3 linked regions of the Coturnix japonica genome follow. The main gene of each other region encodes a partner of the protein of the gene in region 3 in a complex. Links are inferred from orthologs where the notes say so. Each region holds a gene or a part of one and is shown on either strand. Other genes may lie near its edges.

Region 1 (6,412 bases), on a different chromosome or scaffold from region 3:
CTTGCTGAAGGTTCAGTTTTATAATTATATTGATTCCTTATGAAGAAAAGAAAAAATCCCTCCTGCATCATTTCCACAGGTGATGCTGCCTGCCAGCTGCGTCCTGTCTGCAAACAAAACCATATGTCGCCATTCAATTACAGACACAGAGGAGTTTCATTTGGCTGCAAGTGATGCAAAGGAGATGTAAACACGCTTCGTGTTGGCCTGGCCGTGCTATCTTTGCCTATGAAAGACCACTGGCAGGTCTGCGAGTCCCCTGCTGCAACCAGTTGCATGCAGACAGATTTAACAGCACCAGAAAGAAATGCAACTTCATGACACTCTCCTTCCCCAGTACAGGATGGAAAAGGAACGAATTCAACTGAAAAATCAGCCCTATATGTTAAATGCTGTTGGAGAGCTCAGCACTGCAGCCTTCCCCATGCAGCAGGCCCCACCAACAGAAGGCCAAGAGTTGCTACAGCAACAGCTTAATAACTGCATGCAGAGCCTCGCTGGAACGAAAGCTAACAGAGCGTCACTGATTTAATTGACTGATGATTTAATAAAACGCTCTGGATATAGATTAACTTGCTTTGCTTAATGTAGCTTGGCTTCCTGGTGGCAGCAATGGACCCATGCTCTTAATGGACCAAAGCCCAGCCTGCAGCACAGGACCATGGTTTTTGGGGCTCCCACCTTACCACCCAGACCCTGGAAGGAGATCAAGCCATGTGGGGTAAACCAAAGCAGCAACATCCCCCGGGCCCAGCAGAGGAAGGCAGCAATCACTCTCAGCACATACATCTGGTTTCTTCACTGCTATTGCTAGGTATAAAAACCACCACAAAACTCAAATCACTGTGGTTATCAACCCTACGCTCCTCATGCCCAATTTGAAAGAAACAAAGACGCTGTAGAAGTTGAAACAACAGAGAGTAAAAGGATTATTTACTAGCTCTAATTATACAAACTGATCTCATCCTCTTGTCATAAGCCTCTTTCCTGTGTCCGGAATCTATTTGTGTATCATAAAGACCAGTCTTCTGTAAATGTACAAGGGTCATCAGCACAGGGCCATTAATTTCACATATTACAATACATACATATTGTCAACCAATCCACTTGTAACAAGATATAACTGCCCTCACTTGTCAATTGGTACTTTAAAGTATTACTAATGGCAAACAGTAATTAAGATACCAATTCCTAAAACCCAAGCAGCGTTTTTAAAGTAGCTACCACGCAGCTGTAATAAAATTAAAAGCAGAGGCTCCATCTTCAGCTCAAGTAGCTACATCCTAATAAAGTTAAGGACTAACAGTCAACTTGAATTATAGTGCAGCACGTACGTAAAAGCACATGTATGTTTATACTCAAATCAAGTCCTCCAACAGGTTCTGGGGCAGCTGTCTCACGTAGGCATGAAACATTTATCTCAGGCTCAAGTATTAACCGCCAGAAATCCTTAGCAGACCTTCTAGGTGCCTCTTCAAATGATAACTTCTAATACACTGCATAGCTTGAATACACACGATGGGAGTAAATTCTAGGGAAGTCCTCAAAGATAAAACACTTTGTTTGTAAAAGCAATTATTGACTTTAGATACTTAGGGGAACTTCTCAAGATGCAGCAGTGTTCAAAGGACAAGTACATTCAGCATTCTCTGCAGAAACAGAGGCCATCCCAAAGCTGAGTGCTCAAAATAGAAGGAACAGGACTACAGTTATCTTTGAAATATGAATAGATATGCTATGCAGCACCTATAGCGCCTCCAGATGCACAAAAGCCAGCTGAAAGACAGCAGGAAGGGAAAGCAAAATTAGAAGTTGTTTTCTATAAGTAATCTGTTCCTTTCAACTCAGGCAACCATAGGAAAAAACATCCTAGTGATTCACGTACTTTATTTAGGTAGACACAGAATCAGCTGGTTTTACTGGAGCATCACATCTGAGCCAAACTCAACACTGACCCATTCTCAACAACTAATTTAGTCCTTTAGTACTCATAGCCAGGGAGAGAAAGTTAGACATAATATTAAGTGCACAGCATCCATGGATGGTACCACAAAAAGCAAAAAACAAGGCAACAAAGTATCACATCTCTAAAGCAGAGATAAGAAAATACACATTGAAATCTGAAAATTAAATTAAAAACAAAATCAAACTCTAAAAGGCACAAATTCTACTCAATATCACCACCTCATCCATCCCCTTCATCCAATCCCTTTAGCAACCTGCCCTTAAGCAATAAAGCAAGTTTTGCAAACAGACATCCAGCTTTGCACCTGAAAACATTGCTTCCAGCAGCCCTCACAAAACAAGCTTTCAGGTTGGCCCCCTTAGGAGCCCAATGGGTTAATGCCCACAGGTTGCAGCCACACCAGTAAATCATTTATTACCCCAGCTCAGGGACAAGCAGCTACGCAGAACCAAGAGCCCACGCTGTGCAGCTGTTCATCAGCCAGGCATTTCTGCACCATTATAACACGGGATTAAATTCAGAGAGTAGAAATGCATCCCTTTATTATTAGTATTTCTTGTTTGCTTGTTGTTTTTTTTCTTATTTGTTTTTCATCAAGTTATGCAGCTATTTTAAATGTTACAGAATTCATTAACATTTAGTTCATTAAGGAGTAACCACGAATGAAATGAAGGGATCATCATTACAAGCACAGGTAGGGAAATACTGGACCAGCAGGCAAAAAGAGAGAAAGCTTTGAAGAATAAGGAAAGCTGTTCCTAAACTCAAGTTTAGTCTTTTTTCCAGACCTATCAGAGAACACACACCTGGAAGCAGCCATGGTGCAGATGTTGGTTCTGAGGGCCAGGTGAGCAGCACTTGCTGCCTGCAGATGGAAACCTCTGCAGCCGGCACTGCTCACTGCATGCTCCTGTACTCCAGAATTAACAGGAAGTTCAGAAACTGCTAGGAAGGGTGATGAGACACTGGAACAGACACTGGAACATCTTGCCCAGAGCTGTAGGTGCCCCATCGATGGTGGCCAGACTGGATGAAGCCCTGGACAGCCTGATCTGGTGGCAAATCAAACAGCAAATTGCTTTTCTTCTACAGAAGCTCATGTAGTGCATTCCTCTAGCCATGCACAGCACATCTAGCTAACGGTCTGAGCTCATGATGGATGCAGAGACCAGCCCTCTGCAAGCCACATCCTCAAAGGAATGCTTTCCTAATAAAGAAGGTTTCATTCATAATTTCACTCATAATTCTAAGACTTATTATTATTTTTCTTTCTCAAACTCTGCAAATAGGTACAACGCCCCTACCCAACCCATAAGAAAAGGAAACCAAAATAATCACAACAAATACTTGTCTCCCAAGCACAGCAACAGTTTACTATTAATCCACCCAGCTGTTGCTACAGCACTGCCAAATGATTTGGGCCCAGCACTGTTAACCACACTGCTTTGCACCAGTCTTCTTGGGCACAGCCATGGAAAATGTGAGACGCTGCAGAAGGTAAACAGGTTACACACAAAAGAGGAGAAAACAGCCCTCTGACAGAGCCCAAGCTCTGCAAGCACCCGTTTCCAAAGAAGACTCCCACAGTTTCTTTGCTTTAGGCTAACAGTTTTTTTTCCAACCTAAGTATTTTTGGAGAAAATGAGTATAAATGCATGAAACACAACATCTCCGAACAGTCCTACAGTAGCTACATGTCATCTTGCAAGTCAGATCCATCCCCTGATCTGGTTCACCACCACTGAGAGGTTATGAGAACTGAAAATACAACACTGAACGAACACCTGGAGCACTGCAGGACAGGCCCCCATCAGGCCCACAAATAGCCATGGTCCCTGGGCAGGAGCCCTGTGTGCCCCAACTCCTATACCCAGCAACTTCTGAAGAAACCCTCGGGCTGAGAACACCACAACCACCTGTCTACCCCCAGGGACAAGTGCACAGTGCCTTAAAATAATAGGGAAGAGCAGCTGGTGCCTAAAGTGCTATAGACTGTTTCACACCATGGCATACGCTCAATGGAACAATAAGAGCATGTACAACTGCACTATGAATCATGCTGCGAGTTCACTTGTGAGAGATAAAGTCTCAAATGTAATTCTTCACCAGCACCTTCAGCACTCTTCACACCATTCTATTTTCCTTTTGTCAAATTTGCTTATCACATACTTAGATATCCACATCTGCTCTTGCCATCCAGCAGGTAAGCCAGGCAAACCCATCCCCCAGAACAATTTGCCTCAGCATTCACTTGTACCCAAGAGCTGTCAAAACAAGTGACCTTACTTGAACTGCATGAAGCAGTACCAATAGTCCAAGATGTCCTTCCAGGCCTTCCCCCAGTGAGCATAGAGCAGCAGAGCAGGACTCAAGGTTCAGCTCCTGCAAGAGAAGAAGGAGGAGTCACCGGGATGCAACAAGGCCTGTACTGGGAACATACACCTGCCCCATACCTGGGGTATGGAAACCTTCCACCAACCTATGTCTTGTGGGCAGATAGGAGACAGCAGCCTGCTCCCAGGATTCTGTGAAGGAAGCATGAAACCCATCTGTGGGACTGAGCTTGATCCTGCCCTGTCCCCCTCCACAGTACAGTTGGATTGGTATCTGTCACGCTTAACTCGAAGATGAAATCCTGCAAATTCATCCCCCTACACCTATCTCAACCACTTCAAAGTAGTCGGGAACCCTCATTATCACAAGGCATGTTGGAGAAGACAAAAGCACCCAACACAAGTTGGTGGCCAGTGAGAATCTGTAGATGAAGCCCATAATCTACCAGCAAGCCTCTGCCAAACCCTGATGGGGAACCATGCACTTCTCCACAGGCAGATTTCCTTCCCCAGCCCTAGGGGTAAGCCTGCTCTATGGAGCACAACAGGAAAGAACAGTTAAAATAACCGAATGGCAAGTCAAGAAAGAATACAGGCTGTGATTTTGTGTATTAAATGTTGCGTGAGAGATTGTATGGCCTAAATGACAGTCACTGGGGCACCTCTGGCCATCATTTCATTACCACACCAGTAGTGTTTGTGGGTAGGCACACAGCACCCAATGCAAGCTCAATGCATCGCCTGCTCCTATACTGTTTAGTTGGGAAAATGCTTGTAATGAGGGATCTCACACATCCTGATCCAATCTGCACAGCTCAAAGCACAATTACAAGCAGGAACAATGGCAAAGCTTGCTAGCAGCTGGAAAATCAATTGTGCTCCATGAATTGGCTGGGGAAGGTAAAAGCTGAGAGACAGAGCATTGCAAAACAAGCCTTCATCCAACCACAAAGACACAGCAGAACCTGAACTCTGCCACACCAGTTGTGCACAAGGTTTTTTGAGAGGGCTGTTACTAAAACTTCCCTTAATTCTGCTGGTGGGCTCCTGCTGAGGGATAGGGACAGCACTTTGTGAGGCACTATGGGGCACTGAAGGCAGAAAAGGGTTATTTTTCCATAGGCACTTCAGCACAGACCATTTCAAATTGGAAAAGGGAAAAAAAGCTTCCCCTTGTTCCTCTTGAAGCAGTGAGGAAATGAGGGAAAAATAAGAAGTCCATGACTCCTTATTCTGTTGTCACATTTCTAAATTACATCTCCATGGCAAAGTACTGAGCTGAAAGAACTACCTGAACTCTCCAGTACCAGGCAGAGGAAGCAAACGTCCTTTGGATTCATTAACCAGTAAAAACCTCCCTCACAGTCAGAAGCAAACAGACTGGAACTTCCCTCCAGCATTCCTGCAGAGCTGCTTTCAGGACTGCATGTTAAAGAGTGGTTACAGTTTGATAAGGCAACGATTAACTACATTAAGTAAGAAACATTAACCCAAGGCTCCTGGTAGTGATCCCACGTTGATCGGAGAGAGTGATGATCAGCAGCTCTCTCCAAGGCATACACTACAACAGTGCAGTGGTTTCACTTGTTTGTGAGACTGATAACTTGGCTTTCAATACCACGCAGAGCTTCAGCGAGCTTTACTGCTACTCCTATAAGCTGGCAAGCATTACGGGCAGAGATAACACTGGTAAATACACAGTGAGTGTGCAGTGAATCACTGCAGATTTCTCATCATACCCATTAAGGAATGAGGGTGTGTATATGGAGGCACACATGCAAAACTCACTAGGATGTTTATGACTTGGAAAGTATTAGCAAGTGGAGAAAATCAACCAGCTTTGCAAAAAGACATTACTCTCCTGGGGCTTTTTGTTTGAGTTTATTCTGGAGGAGTTTTCAGCTTAGCCCAAGAAGGTGCAAAGAATATTAAGAAGTCTTATATTTCTATTTCTGTATGCAAAAAGTCTGCACGTTCAGTAAAGGTGTCCAAATCAAGGAATTAACCACCCAAAGGGTTCTCCTTTCCTCATGGAGATGCATCAAGATAACTCCTGAATGTATAAGTAGACTCTTTTTAGAAGGGTTTCTCCATATGGATTTCCCCTCATCCT
Region 2 (5,874 bases), on a different chromosome or scaffold from region 3:
AGGAGTGCAAACCACAGCGTGTGGGGAGTGTGCAAAGCTTAAGGGAGAGGGGCACAAAACTCAGGAGGCACTCACAGACACAGCCATTTTCCCCAAGATGTCTTCTGGGATTGTTTTCTTCTTCTCCAGTACTTTCTTGTAGAATTTATCCAAGGAAGTATCCATGAGCTCCATGCAGATCCACACATCACCCTGCAGGTGGAAAGAAAGTAGCTATAGGGAGTGCTCCAAACCACCCACAGGAGCCAAATGACACAGTGAGGGCAGACAGATGGACACTGCACTTCCACCCAGGGCAATCCAATGTCCCTGTGGTGGAAGTGCTGCCAACCACATACCAACATGCACCTGACAGCAATGGGCACTCATGTTGGAGTGCCACCAATAGCACTTCCAACACCCACTTCCAAGAGTGCCCTACTTGAAATCCAGCCCAGCCCACTGCCAGCATGCTTGGGCACCTGCTGCTGCAGCATGGAAAGGGACCTGCTGCCTCCTGCAACAGCTGGGCCTTGCACCACCTCAACCAGCCCACTTTGGTTGTAGGAAACAAAGGTGGTTTGAGACAGTTTTGTGCATTCAGAGGACAAGCGCAGACCCAAGTTGCTGTGCAACAAGAGCCCCTCACCTCTCGGAATAGGGCTCCATAGAAAGTGACGGTGTAGAAGCAGTCAACCGTCCTCATGGAGATATCCAAGTCCATCAACAGCCTCTTCTGCTCCTGAGTGTTCACTGTGGCACGAATCCTCTGAGAAATATTAAGGAAAAAAAAAGGTTTTGATGTAGGTGGAGTTCTGTAGCCAACGCATCACCCCAGAGATGCCCAGATGACCTCTTACAAACAGCACCATAATGAATGACACCACCTAAGTGCCACATTGGGCTGCAAGGGGACACAGGAGGCTGCCAAATCCAACAAGCCTCCATCTCTGTCCCCATTCTGCCCCACCAGGAGGAAGCCGTTCTCACCTTCACGGCCATGATGGTGCCACTCTGAGCATGCCTCACTTTCTCCACCACACCATAAGCTCCCCGGCCCAGCTCTGAAATAGTCACCAGGTCATCAGCTTCCACCTCGAAGTTCTGTAAGGAAATGGATAATAACAGTCAAACAAAAATCAGGCTGGAGCACATTTACTGTAAAGGCAAAGTTCACTGCTTGCACTTCAGCCACACAGAGCATGCCCAAACCACTGCACCTACAGGATCACAGCAGCCCACCGTGCTTAGAACAGATGCATGTATTTTTGGCTCCTTGGGGCATATTGAATACCACTTTTAAGCCAGAGATTGAGATATACCAAAGGGCACAGTGTCACTGGAAGAGGCCCAAGGCTCAGTGCCTCTCTGCCAGTAAGTTTCTGCACATCCCACGGACAAGTTTCCCCCAACACACATTGCCCTGTAATTGTCTGCTCTGCTGGGCAGGGCATATGCTGCTGGAGTGAGACATGGGCTATTTTTGGAGGCTGCATTCATCGCTCTTAATAAGTTACAGACCTTCTTTCAACCAGGCAGGACTTCATCCAGCCTGCAGCTTCCCTCCGGTTCCAGGGAACAAAAATAACACCAGGATGCCAAACTGACCCAGTAGCAGCAAAGGGTGGGAAAAGCACCATGCAGCATTAGAAGCAGCACTGCACCCAGAGCAGAAGGGCAGCAGCATGCTGAGAGCCAGGGCTACAAGGCTAGTGGCCATGCAAGCCACCAGCCCTACTAATTTGGACAAGATTGGGATGGTGGGAAGCTGAGGGAGGTCAGGGGCTGAGCTCAGCAGGAAGCTGTGCTGCATAGCACAGGGAAGTGGCAACCTGTCCCAGGTGGGACAGAAGATCCAATAGAAGATCCAATGGGGCTACAGGGGGTTCATGCAGCCCCCACCTCACTGCCCTGGGCAGAGGCACAGTGTGGGCTTACAGCTCCTGCAGGGGCCTCCAGGAAGGACCTAGTGGTGCTTTTCAGGACACGTGTTCTAGAATTGTTCCAGGGCATTGTGTTTGTGTTCCTGGCATTTACCCACAGGCTTCCCCAGACGCTGGCAGTTCCCAGCACGCTCCAGGAACCAGCACAGCCCTGCCCAGATGATGAACCAACAAAACCCCACACTGCACCCCTTACCCTCTGCTTCAGATCAAATGGACCCATAGCCACCCTTCATCTCACAACCCAAAGCTGCCCATACACCCACCACTCCTCCATCCCATGTTGTGTTGTTCTGAAGCACCCAGAGCAAACCTGAGCTGCAGATCTCAGGGCAGGCAGGGCACAGATGCAGAACCCCTCGGAACAATGCACAGCAGGGAGGGCACAGCCTGCAGAGCTGCCCCCAGGCTGCAGCTCTCCCATTGCACACACTGTGCCCAAGCTGCTGCATACAGCCTCTCCCCAAGCTACCAGTACACACAACAACAGCTAGAACACAACACCAGCAACAGGGTTGATCCCTGCACCCAGCCCAGGCTGCTTCTCTCCCCTCAAAACCTAAAACCTTGCACCAAGGATGGGACTGACCCCACACCATATTTTTAGGTCACTTGCAGCCCCAGGAGAGCCCGTAACAAGAGAATGAAATAAAAGAGAGGCGGCAGCTATTTCTAGCAGCGTTTTTCATCAGGCAGCTTGGAAAGGATTTGGAGAGAAGCTCTGAGCCCAGCTTCTGGTGGAATGCCAGCAGCAATAGGGACAAAGGGGACGTGGGCTGGGACAGCAGGGCACAGCCAGGCTGGGTAAGAGTGAGGAGGCTGCCAAAGGAGCAGGATCCCATTAAGGACAAAGCCTCACCCCACAAATGCCTGTCCCCCTGATGCTCTCAATACCAGCACAAACCCGCAGCCAACTGTGGAAAGGTCCTGCCTGAGGACACCTCATCCCCTTCCAAAGATGCATCCCAGGAGGCTGCACCAGGAGGACACGCTGGGGCTTAAAGGATGCTTGGGATTGCAAAGATCCAACCTGACAAGGCAGCATGATCCATACTACTCCCATACAGGAGGCAAGCAGACTTGGAAACAAGAACATTGACACGTACTTTGTCTCCAATGGTGATGAAGGTTCTGGAGTCCAGGTTCCTTGGTGGCCTGAAAGGAGAGAAGGAATCAGAAGGAAGCACAACCTCAAAACTCCCCTCCTGCAGTGCCAGGTTTCATGCGCCCCCAGGTGCTTTCAGCCACTGCTTCCCACAGTGCGTTGTTATGGGTGCACACCAGCCCCCTCCAAATGCTCCCAAAGGCTTTCATCGAGCCACCACCACCCACAGAGCCAGCAGGAGCCCAGCAAGCAGCAAGGTGAGGCTGCATCAAAGCTACGAAACCGACCCCATGCGGGGAGAGGAGCAGCTGTCGTGTTTTGACAGGCAGGTGTTGTAACAGCACGGCCACGTCGCCCCAAACACGCCTAGGAAACAACAGGTAATTCCTCTGCACTGAGTCATTTGTGTACTCTTGACAGCCTGTTCCAGGCAGCCTGGCATGCGGAGCAGCCAGCAGCGTCACACTTTGCACAACACCGTGTAGGCAAGTCTTCCTTTATGGCTTTTTTCCCTCCTCATGGCTACCCATTCCCTGCTATTGGCAGTACAGGGTTTAAGGCACACACTGTACTTCTGCCCCTTCTGCACTGCTCCTGTGCTCAAGTCCTCCAACATTGTCAGGTTGGGAACTGGGCAATCTGCTCAGCATCTTCATTCCCATCAGAGCACTGCAGCAGCTTCAAGGAAGTGCTCAGGCTCACAGCAAAAGCATTGGCACTGTGCAAATATTTGCAATGTGCCTTGAAAAGTGCAGAGAAAAGGAATGGTGGGGGCCTGGAACCAGTCTGAACAGGAGTTGCATGCAAGCACCTTGCAAACCACAGCTGACATCTGCTCCAGGGGAAACTCGGACACCAGAGAGCCACAGCCATGGAGAGAGAGAGCTCTGCATGCAGGACTGTCTGCACACCAGGCTGTCAACAGGGAGCTCCCGGCTCCAGGCAATCTGCCCTGCCTGGGGATTCAGAGATGTGCCCCCAGAGAGGGATTCACTGCTCCCCCAGAGCTCTGTTGCTCTCCAGAGAGAGCAGAGCTGAGCAGTGGAGATGCATCATAGAGGAGGAATTTCAGCCATCTGCTTTTTGTCAAACCTAGCGCTACCACCCTGGTCCTGTGTCCTCTCCTTGCCCCCAACATAACAACATACCAAGCAGCAGCAAACAGGGCACAGAGAAATCCCAGTGCCTGAGATGCAGCCAGGCACCAGCCCCAAGCACAGCAGAGGGGAGCAACAAGGCTTCTACATCCTCCTTGCACCAACATGGGCAGCTCAGTGGGTTCACACACAGGCCAAAGCACGGGGCAGGGGCTGCTCTGCTGCACCCAGCACCTTCATCCCTGCTCCAGGTCCTAGCCCTGCAGGCAGCTCCCAGAGGCACACACAATCTGTGTGTGTGCACATGTGCAATTCCTTCTCATAACTGAGAATCCAGAGCTCCAGTTGAAAAACCCCCACAACCAGCTGACGTGGTAACACCTCTACACCCACATGGCCTGAGACAGCTCACTACAGCTCCTAGAACTGGCTGCAGGAGCAGGTACTCACGTGGTGTTGACAGGGGGCTGCTTGATGGGAGGACATGTTATCCTCAGCTTCTTCTTGCCCTTCGCTGCAAGAGAAGATGCACACATAAGCAACGGGCATTTTTATTTATTTATTTATTAAACTTTCCTTCCTTTTGGCACAATTCTGCAGCTCTCACACCCTGCCCTGCTCCCAGCCACCCCCACAGCACTCTTTACCCCCTGTGGCCATTAATGGTTCCTTTTCTGGGGGGATTTCAATTGCTGGCATTTAGAAGAGAGGGTGAAGCTGCTCTGTCTGTTGGGCACTCACCTGGTTTGTGTGGCTCCAGGGATCCCTTGGAATCTGGAAGAGAACAGGGAGACATCAGGTCAGTGCTTACACTCCAAAGCACCTGATACAAAGCATACACCCCTTATGGTGCCAAACAGGAGCACAGGAACATGCCATGGGGCAGCTGGCACCCAGCCCTGCCCTGCACAGCCACCAGATGTCCTCATGCCACTGGCTCTGCCCAGGGCAATGCCAGCACCCCAATGTGCTCCCAGCAGATCCCACTTTGGGAAGCACTGATTTATTTCTCAGCACGCTCCCAGCTGGGCAAGGAAGAGACAGATCCTGTGGGTATGCTGGAGGAGGCAGGGGAGCAGCCAGCCCTGCTCTGTGCCATCAGGACAACGGCCACCAAACCTCATGTACAGCAACTGGCAACTCTGACCCTGAGAGGGAACAACTCATGTGCCACTGAGGGGAACCACAGGGCAGGAGCCACAACACTAGATAAGCACGCACAGGTTGAGACCTTGCACTGAAACAGAACGGAGCTGGAGCCCTGCTCTGCTGCCCCACAGGGGTTGCTGTGGTTTGCAGCACCAGACTCAGAGCCCTGCAAGTCCTCTGTGTGTCTCAGCACCTGCTCCATGAGGCTGCTCCCAACCCCATACACAGCTGGGATGGGACAGGGAGCTATAAATAGCCCTGCCCTGCAAAATACCTGGCTGTGCAAACACGAAGTGCAGCCAAATGGAAGATGATGCCCTCTAGCTCAGCAGCACCTTCCCTTCCTGCAGCCAGGGCAGAGCACAGAGCTGGGACATGGGGCTGCAGCTTCCTCCTGCAGCCAGTGAGAGGGAGATCTCTGCAGAGCAGTCAATCCCATCCCAAGACGCAGACAAGGGCGTGCATGCGTCATCCTGTGGATGCAGAGCTGCTGGATGCCCCCAAACCAACCTCACATTGGGCTCAGCAACTCCTGCTCACTCGATGCATCCCACGCCCTGGGCAGCACCAACCAAATACCCTCCATCTGCCTTCCCCCTTC
Region 3 (5,874 bases):
TACAAAAAGTGTCACTTCTTTAAGATGCAAAGAACCTTTTCCAAAGCCCTGTTCCAGGGGAAGCCAGAACTGGAATCAGGGCAGACCAGAATGGGCAGACTGAGCTGTGGAAGAAGAGTTCAAGAGGACTTCCACTCCTCTTTGCAGCCATCAGGAACACGTTTTGGGTCTGCTCATATCTTAGACATTTGTGCAAATCTGTCTGCACACTGGGTAGCCAACAGCAGGAGGAAAGAGCTGACCACAACACTTTTGGTGAGTTTGGATTGCAAGGAGAGAAAGTCAGCATAAAAACCTACTGAAAGCACTGGCTTCCCAGGTTCCCAAAAGGACTGTGGAAAACCACATTTCCCAACAGATGGAGGGAAGAGACGTGAGAGATTGTCTCCTTTCTCGGCAGATACCTTCCTGAAATCCTGGTTGAGAAACAAATCTTCCTCTATGGCACAGTTACACAGATAATTACAGCATCCTGCCCATGCCCTCAGTCCAGTCCCAAAGCTGATTAGATGCACTGCCATACGACCACATTCTTGCTGACAAGTCCAGCCTTGCTGGTGGACTCAGACACATGGTGTCAGCCCTGCGCTGGTGCAGCTTTATGGTCCTGCTCAATACTGGAAGATATATAGCCCTGGGGGTTTTGGAGCAGAAGGATCTGAGCTACTGATATGCTACTGCAAATGAAACACCACACATTTGCAGCTAATTGCCATGGACTGTTCCCAGCATACTTAATATAGAAGCACACAGGCCACCCCTCCTTAAATCACACTTTGATATAAAATGTGTCACTACCTAACTTTTAGCCTTTAAGCTAAGTCATACATGCCAGGGTGCTCCTGCATGTGCCTATGAAGATGTCATAGGGACCACAATGCCAGCTGAAGCTGCAAGATGGTGCTCTGTTGTTGGATGAGAATAATAGTGTTGTCTTTTTGCTGTTCTCCACATAAATGCTTTGCCCACACCAGCAACAGAGGTAGGCAGTTCATGTGTAGCAACTTACTTGAGTCAGACCTGCTCCGTGAGTGCCCCTCTGAGTTGGGGAGTGAGGTCTGTATCATAAGCTGTACTGCCTTGACCTCATCCTGTGCTTTCACCTTGCTCCAGCAGATAGCTTGGACATGCCTGGTGGATTTGGGAGCTCGAACGTCGCTCTGCTCAGGAAGGACACAACACACATAAGGACACAAGGCATGTGAGGACATAGCAACACACAACCCACTAAGCTCTCCTGCCCGGGAACTTCCACTTGTGCCTGTGTGGCAGCAGCACTCCGAATACAGTTTGTTTTGCAGAACCACTTAGCCAGTTCTCATGTATTTTTAGACTAGATAATTTTGGCTGATATTTTATGATTATGCTAAAAATGTGGCAGTGAGTAAGTGTTCCAATTCATGTACCACATGGAGGAGAGATCTGAAGGCCTTATTCTACAAATACAAAGAATATTCTACTTGTCTTATAATGTGAACACCAGATAGACAGTGCCTTCTGCTAAAAGAAGTAGGTATTTTTGCAGGAGAACACTCCACATTTGCTTTCTTGGAGTATCAATCTCTTCCTTTGGAGGAGCCATGCTGCCTGCAATTCTGAAAGGCTGAAAGAAACTTGGAGCAACAGAAAACTCTTGTTCTTTACTTCTGAGACAGACCCAAAAAAGGTGGAAGATATTTCCTCATCACTCCATCAGTGCTTGATTCCTTGCCCAGGACAGAGCTGGTAGCCTCACTGTGAAGCACAGCATCACTCTTCGTAAAACACTTCTGTAAGCAACCACAAGTTCTTTTTAAATTGTGGCTGAATTGTCTTTGAAATTTGGTTTTACTCTTTTACTTTTGACTTTTCATTCTCTTTCTTCTCCTGTTGCTCCTCAGCTCTCCTAATTAGCACTTCGCTGAAAAGGTAAAAAAACCCACAGCCACCAAATGTGAGCACACTGGCTGTTACACTTCAAGTAAAAGGAATTTTTGTCCTTGAGAAAAAGAGCCATCCCAGGCAGCTGCCTGAGGACACAGACTTTGTACATCTCATTCAGCTTTTGCTCCAAACTTTAGATTTCACAATTAATTACAGGGTGCTGAGACTTGATTACAGGACATAGCAGAGCTGTGGGGATGCTATTGCCACAGCTCCCATACAGGTTATCTCAGATAAACATGTTGTTTCTTAGCACTTACCTCATATGTAACAATGCATTCTACAGACTGGTGTTCTTCGATCCCCACAATCCACTTCTCCATAACAAACGGTGGCTGAAAAGAACACAGCGGTGATTTATGAGGTGCTCATCATCTCCTGACTTGTCCCTGAAACACCCTAAAAGTACTTTGTAACTTGTGCCTTTTCTCACCCTTTTCCATATTGCAAGCATCTAAAAATGTTATGGGACAAACATACTCTGAAATTATTTACCTCCTTGTTTACAGAATGAAACAGATATTTCTATATATAACTGTAGGTATGACAGCATGGAATATTTTCATGGGGGCATTGCCCTTCTTCAATTTTACACACATGGAATAAAGATTCCTGGAGACAGTCCCTGACAGATAATCAAATCCTGAAGTGAGTGCTAATGCTACTGTATCTGAAACTATGACATTTAACTTAAAGTTAAAAAAAAAAAAAACATTTTCTTCTTTTTTTCTTTCTCTTTCTCCATTTTCTTTTTTCTTTTTTTTTTTTTTTTTAATGGAAGATGGAATTTCTGGACATGAAACAGAAAGCTATTTTGCAATGACATAGTAACAACATTAGAATTACAACAGTGAAGAAATCCTTATCTGCAACAATAGTCTTAGAATGCCTATGACATTAAATACAAGAATTCTTTCTGTCTAAGACAAATTTTCCCTAATATTCTGTTGAAAGTATGACTTCCAGTTTTTCCTTCAGGAAAAAAAAAAAACAAAACAGCCATAATTTTGCAACAAAAATCCACAGTTAAAGGCACTCAGGAGGGTTTTTTTTGTTGTTTTGTTTTGTTTCTGTTTTATATTTAAATCGGTGCACATTAGAGAAGCATTCTATCTGGTAATAAAAATGTGTATTTTTTCATTTATGATATTAACTGCTATTAAGTAGAGCTCATTAATAAAAACAATCAATTAAAATAACAGCAAACAGAATGTCCAGTGCATTCTGTGCTTTAACAAACCTTCTGTTGCTTATGGTAAAAGCAGTCTAAGTGCTGGCTGGTAAATGCCTACAGGCAGGTTTACTCAAATAGGGTAAATGCCCAGTGGCACTGAATTGCAGATGTGCAGGGCTGTATGCCCGTGATCAACATGTTGAGGGTTTCAGTGTTTGGAACCCATATCTGCATGAAAAAGGGAGTTTTAAAAGCATGTAAAAGTTCTAAAACCATGCCCCAACCTCCCCCCCCCCCCCCCCCCCCCCTAAAAAAAAAAAAAAAAAAAAAAAAAAAAGAGAGAGAGAAAAAAAAAAAGCTCAGACAAATCACATGAAGTTTCAAATTGGAACATTTAAATCACTTTCTCCTCCTGAAAAGGAACATACGTTTTTAACATTCTCATCTTTAAAAGGGGTAATAAATTCAGATGCTATAACATGGAATTAAAACTAGAAAATATAAATTAGTTTCTTTTCTTGTTTTTCTACTGGTAACATTATTGTCAGCTTAAAAGAGAACCAAAATAGCTAACTCTTATTATGATACACATCTGTTTAAAATGTGCATTTTATTTAAAAGCTGTCAAGAGACTGAGCTTCTGCAAGCACAAAAGTCGACTGCTGTGGTATTTTAATGTCTTTGTTTGAGATCTGTGAATTCGTGAAAGCTTTAAGGCTGTAAATACCTTTGTCATCTTTAAAATCTCTACATCAGGTAGGTTAGTGTTGAATGTCACATCTTTTATGTAGGTTATTGCAATTTCATCCCCGTCCATCTCCATGTACATTTTCCATTTACAGTCCTATGAATAATAATAATAAAAAAGAATGCTGGACTGTTAGAATACAAAAAAATCGAAATCAAAATATAAAAAACCAAAGACTAGCCAAACCCAGCCTAGCCCTCACTGTATAGTGGAAAAAACTAAAACCAGCAACGACGATGAAGGCAAGGAACATATACATGCTTTAGTATATGCGTTTTACAATGAGTGTGGTTAATAGAAATCCCTTGCGTTTTCTGGCTCGCTTCCTGCTCAGGTGCCTCTGAGAGACAGCAGCCACCTTGGCAGGTCTGACTGTCCTCAGTGGTCCCCTGGAGGGCCCCAGGATGGCAGCAGTTCACCCAGCAGCACAGCCTGCCCATATGAGCAGTGATGGTGAGGCACAACCCATGGAAGCCATCACCTGGAGCCACAGCCAGAGCTGGCAGCCAGCCCTCAGGGCATCTTCCTGGTGAACCTGGGAACTAAGGACCAGAGGGTGTGTGCAACACTTTCAGGACAGTTGCTCTAATAATGGGCAGGAGGATGAGCTGGTTAATGCAGCTCAATTCCTTCAGATCCTGAGCGTCCAGTGAGGCACTGAGCATCCTCAGCTCCTCTCACCTCCAGTAGCACTAGTAATTTTAAGGGAGCTCAGCTTTGAAACAGCAAGTCTAATAACCAAAGCAGTGAAAGGTATCTTTGAATGATCCCATGGGATGAACATAGCACTGGCACCTTGCATGGGTGTGAGCCTGCAAGAGGCTGATGGCTCTGGCTGCATCCTGCAGGACATATCAGGTAGGTTGAGCACTGGGACCAGTGTCCCTGCCAATGAACAGGGAGGCTCCTGCAGGGGACAGCAGATGTGCAGCAGACCATAGCAGGTGATTTGGGGATTTGATGCTGTCCAGTGCACTGAGCTCCTCCAGAAGTCTGTTCCCTGAGGGACAAGGGGGTTGACACCAAGCAGGGCATATCTATCTGTGTGCAGCCTGGATGGGGACTGCCCGTGGCAGAGGAGGAGCCCCTCCAGGTGTGCCCGAGGGTCAGGAGGGTCCCTACATGCCGATGGCCAGGCAGCTGCGGTCTTGGTATTCGCAGGAAGCAGTCATCTCCTCAGGGCTGCTCAGAAATGCAAGAATTTTCAACAGGAACACAGATGGCCGCTCAGGGCCAAGGGCTGGCATAAGCAGTTATTTGCACACACAAATGTACAGCAGCCTAAGAAATAACCATCCGTACATGCGATTATCTGCTAGTGTTTGCACGTGCATCTCTCATAAATGTAACACAGGAGCTCAGCCCTCAGAAGTCTCAAAGCTTTCAATCAGGGATTGAATTGGCAATTCCAAGATAAAAGAAAACCAGAGTATAATCATTTCCAAATCGTGGCAACAAATGACGCTTAAGAAACCATTTGGCCCAGTGTGTCCATCTGTCCCCACTGAAAGCGCATGATTTTTATGAGGAGAGTGGACATGGGAGTTGGTTTTAGCACCACCATATCCTGGCACTCAGGACACTTGTGTGGGGTTCGCATGCACTGAGCTCAGCTTCCAGACTTGCCATCATTTTCCTGAATGACCCACGAAGACACAAAAGTCACTCCGTGCCTCCATCTCCTAACTACAGACTGCATAACACTGCATGGCCTTTTTCTATCCTGTTGCTTTGTGCTGTGGGCTGCCTCTTCTTGGGTGGGTGCAGCATGACCTGGCACAGGCTGTCAGCCGAGGACTGTTCATGCTGTGTGACTGAACTGCAACAGTGCAGGAAGTTGCTTTTGACCCCTCCTTGCCTCTCACAGCCCATGCTCCTGCTGCTGTCTGCACTGTCTTTGTTGCAAGACTTTTTAATAGGATTTCCTAATTTTGTGCTACCTAAATTCTCTATTGCAGACCTAAGCTAAGATAGGAGACAAAGTGCTTAAGGACGAAACCACCTCAGCCAAGTAAAGACCAACATGTTG

What was found.
Region 1: MAP3K20 (region 3) and AKAP13 share a complex: the UniProt entries of both Homo sapiens proteins name them as parts of the signaling complex. The link is inferred for Coturnix japonica from reciprocal best matches to the Homo sapiens genes MAP3K20 and AKAP13.
Region 2: MAP3K20 (region 3) and MAP2K3 share a complex: the UniProt entries of both Homo sapiens proteins name them as parts of the signaling complex. The link is inferred for Coturnix japonica from reciprocal best matches to the Homo sapiens genes MAP3K20 and MAP2K3.

What each region holds. Positions count from the first base shown.
Region 1 is NC_029525.1:12,662,516-12,668,927, forward strand, and holds the start of AKAP13 (A-kinase anchor protein 13), read right to left. Parts: upstream 4,362-6,412; 5' UTR 4,253-4,361; intron 1-4,252. UniProt on the Homo sapiens protein: Scaffold protein that plays an important role in assembling signaling complexes downstream of several types of G protein-coupled receptors.
Region 2 is NC_029529.1:4,541,118-4,546,991, forward strand, and holds part of MAP2K3 (dual specificity mitogen-activated protein kinase kinase 3), read right to left. Parts: intron 4,899-5,874; coding exon 4,866-4,898; intron 4,639-4,865; coding exon 4,575-4,638; intron 3,078-4,574; coding exon 3,029-3,077; intron 1,084-3,028; coding exon 970-1,083; intron 749-969; coding exon 629-748; intron 193-628; coding exon 76-192; intron 1-75. UniProt on the Homo sapiens protein: Dual specificity kinase. Is activated by cytokines and environmental stress in vivo. Catalyzes the concomitant phosphorylation of a threonine and a tyrosine residue in the MAP kinase p38.
Region 3 is NC_029522.1:15,480,623-15,486,496, forward strand, and holds part of MAP3K20 (mitogen-activated protein kinase kinase kinase 20), read right to left. Parts: intron 3,942-5,874; coding exon 3,825-3,941; intron 2,259-3,824; coding exon 2,184-2,258; intron 1,161-2,183; coding exon 1,010-1,160; intron 1-1,009. UniProt on the Homo sapiens protein: Stress-activated component of a protein kinase signal transduction cascade that promotes programmed cell death in response to various stress, such as ribosomal stress, osmotic shock and ionizing radiation.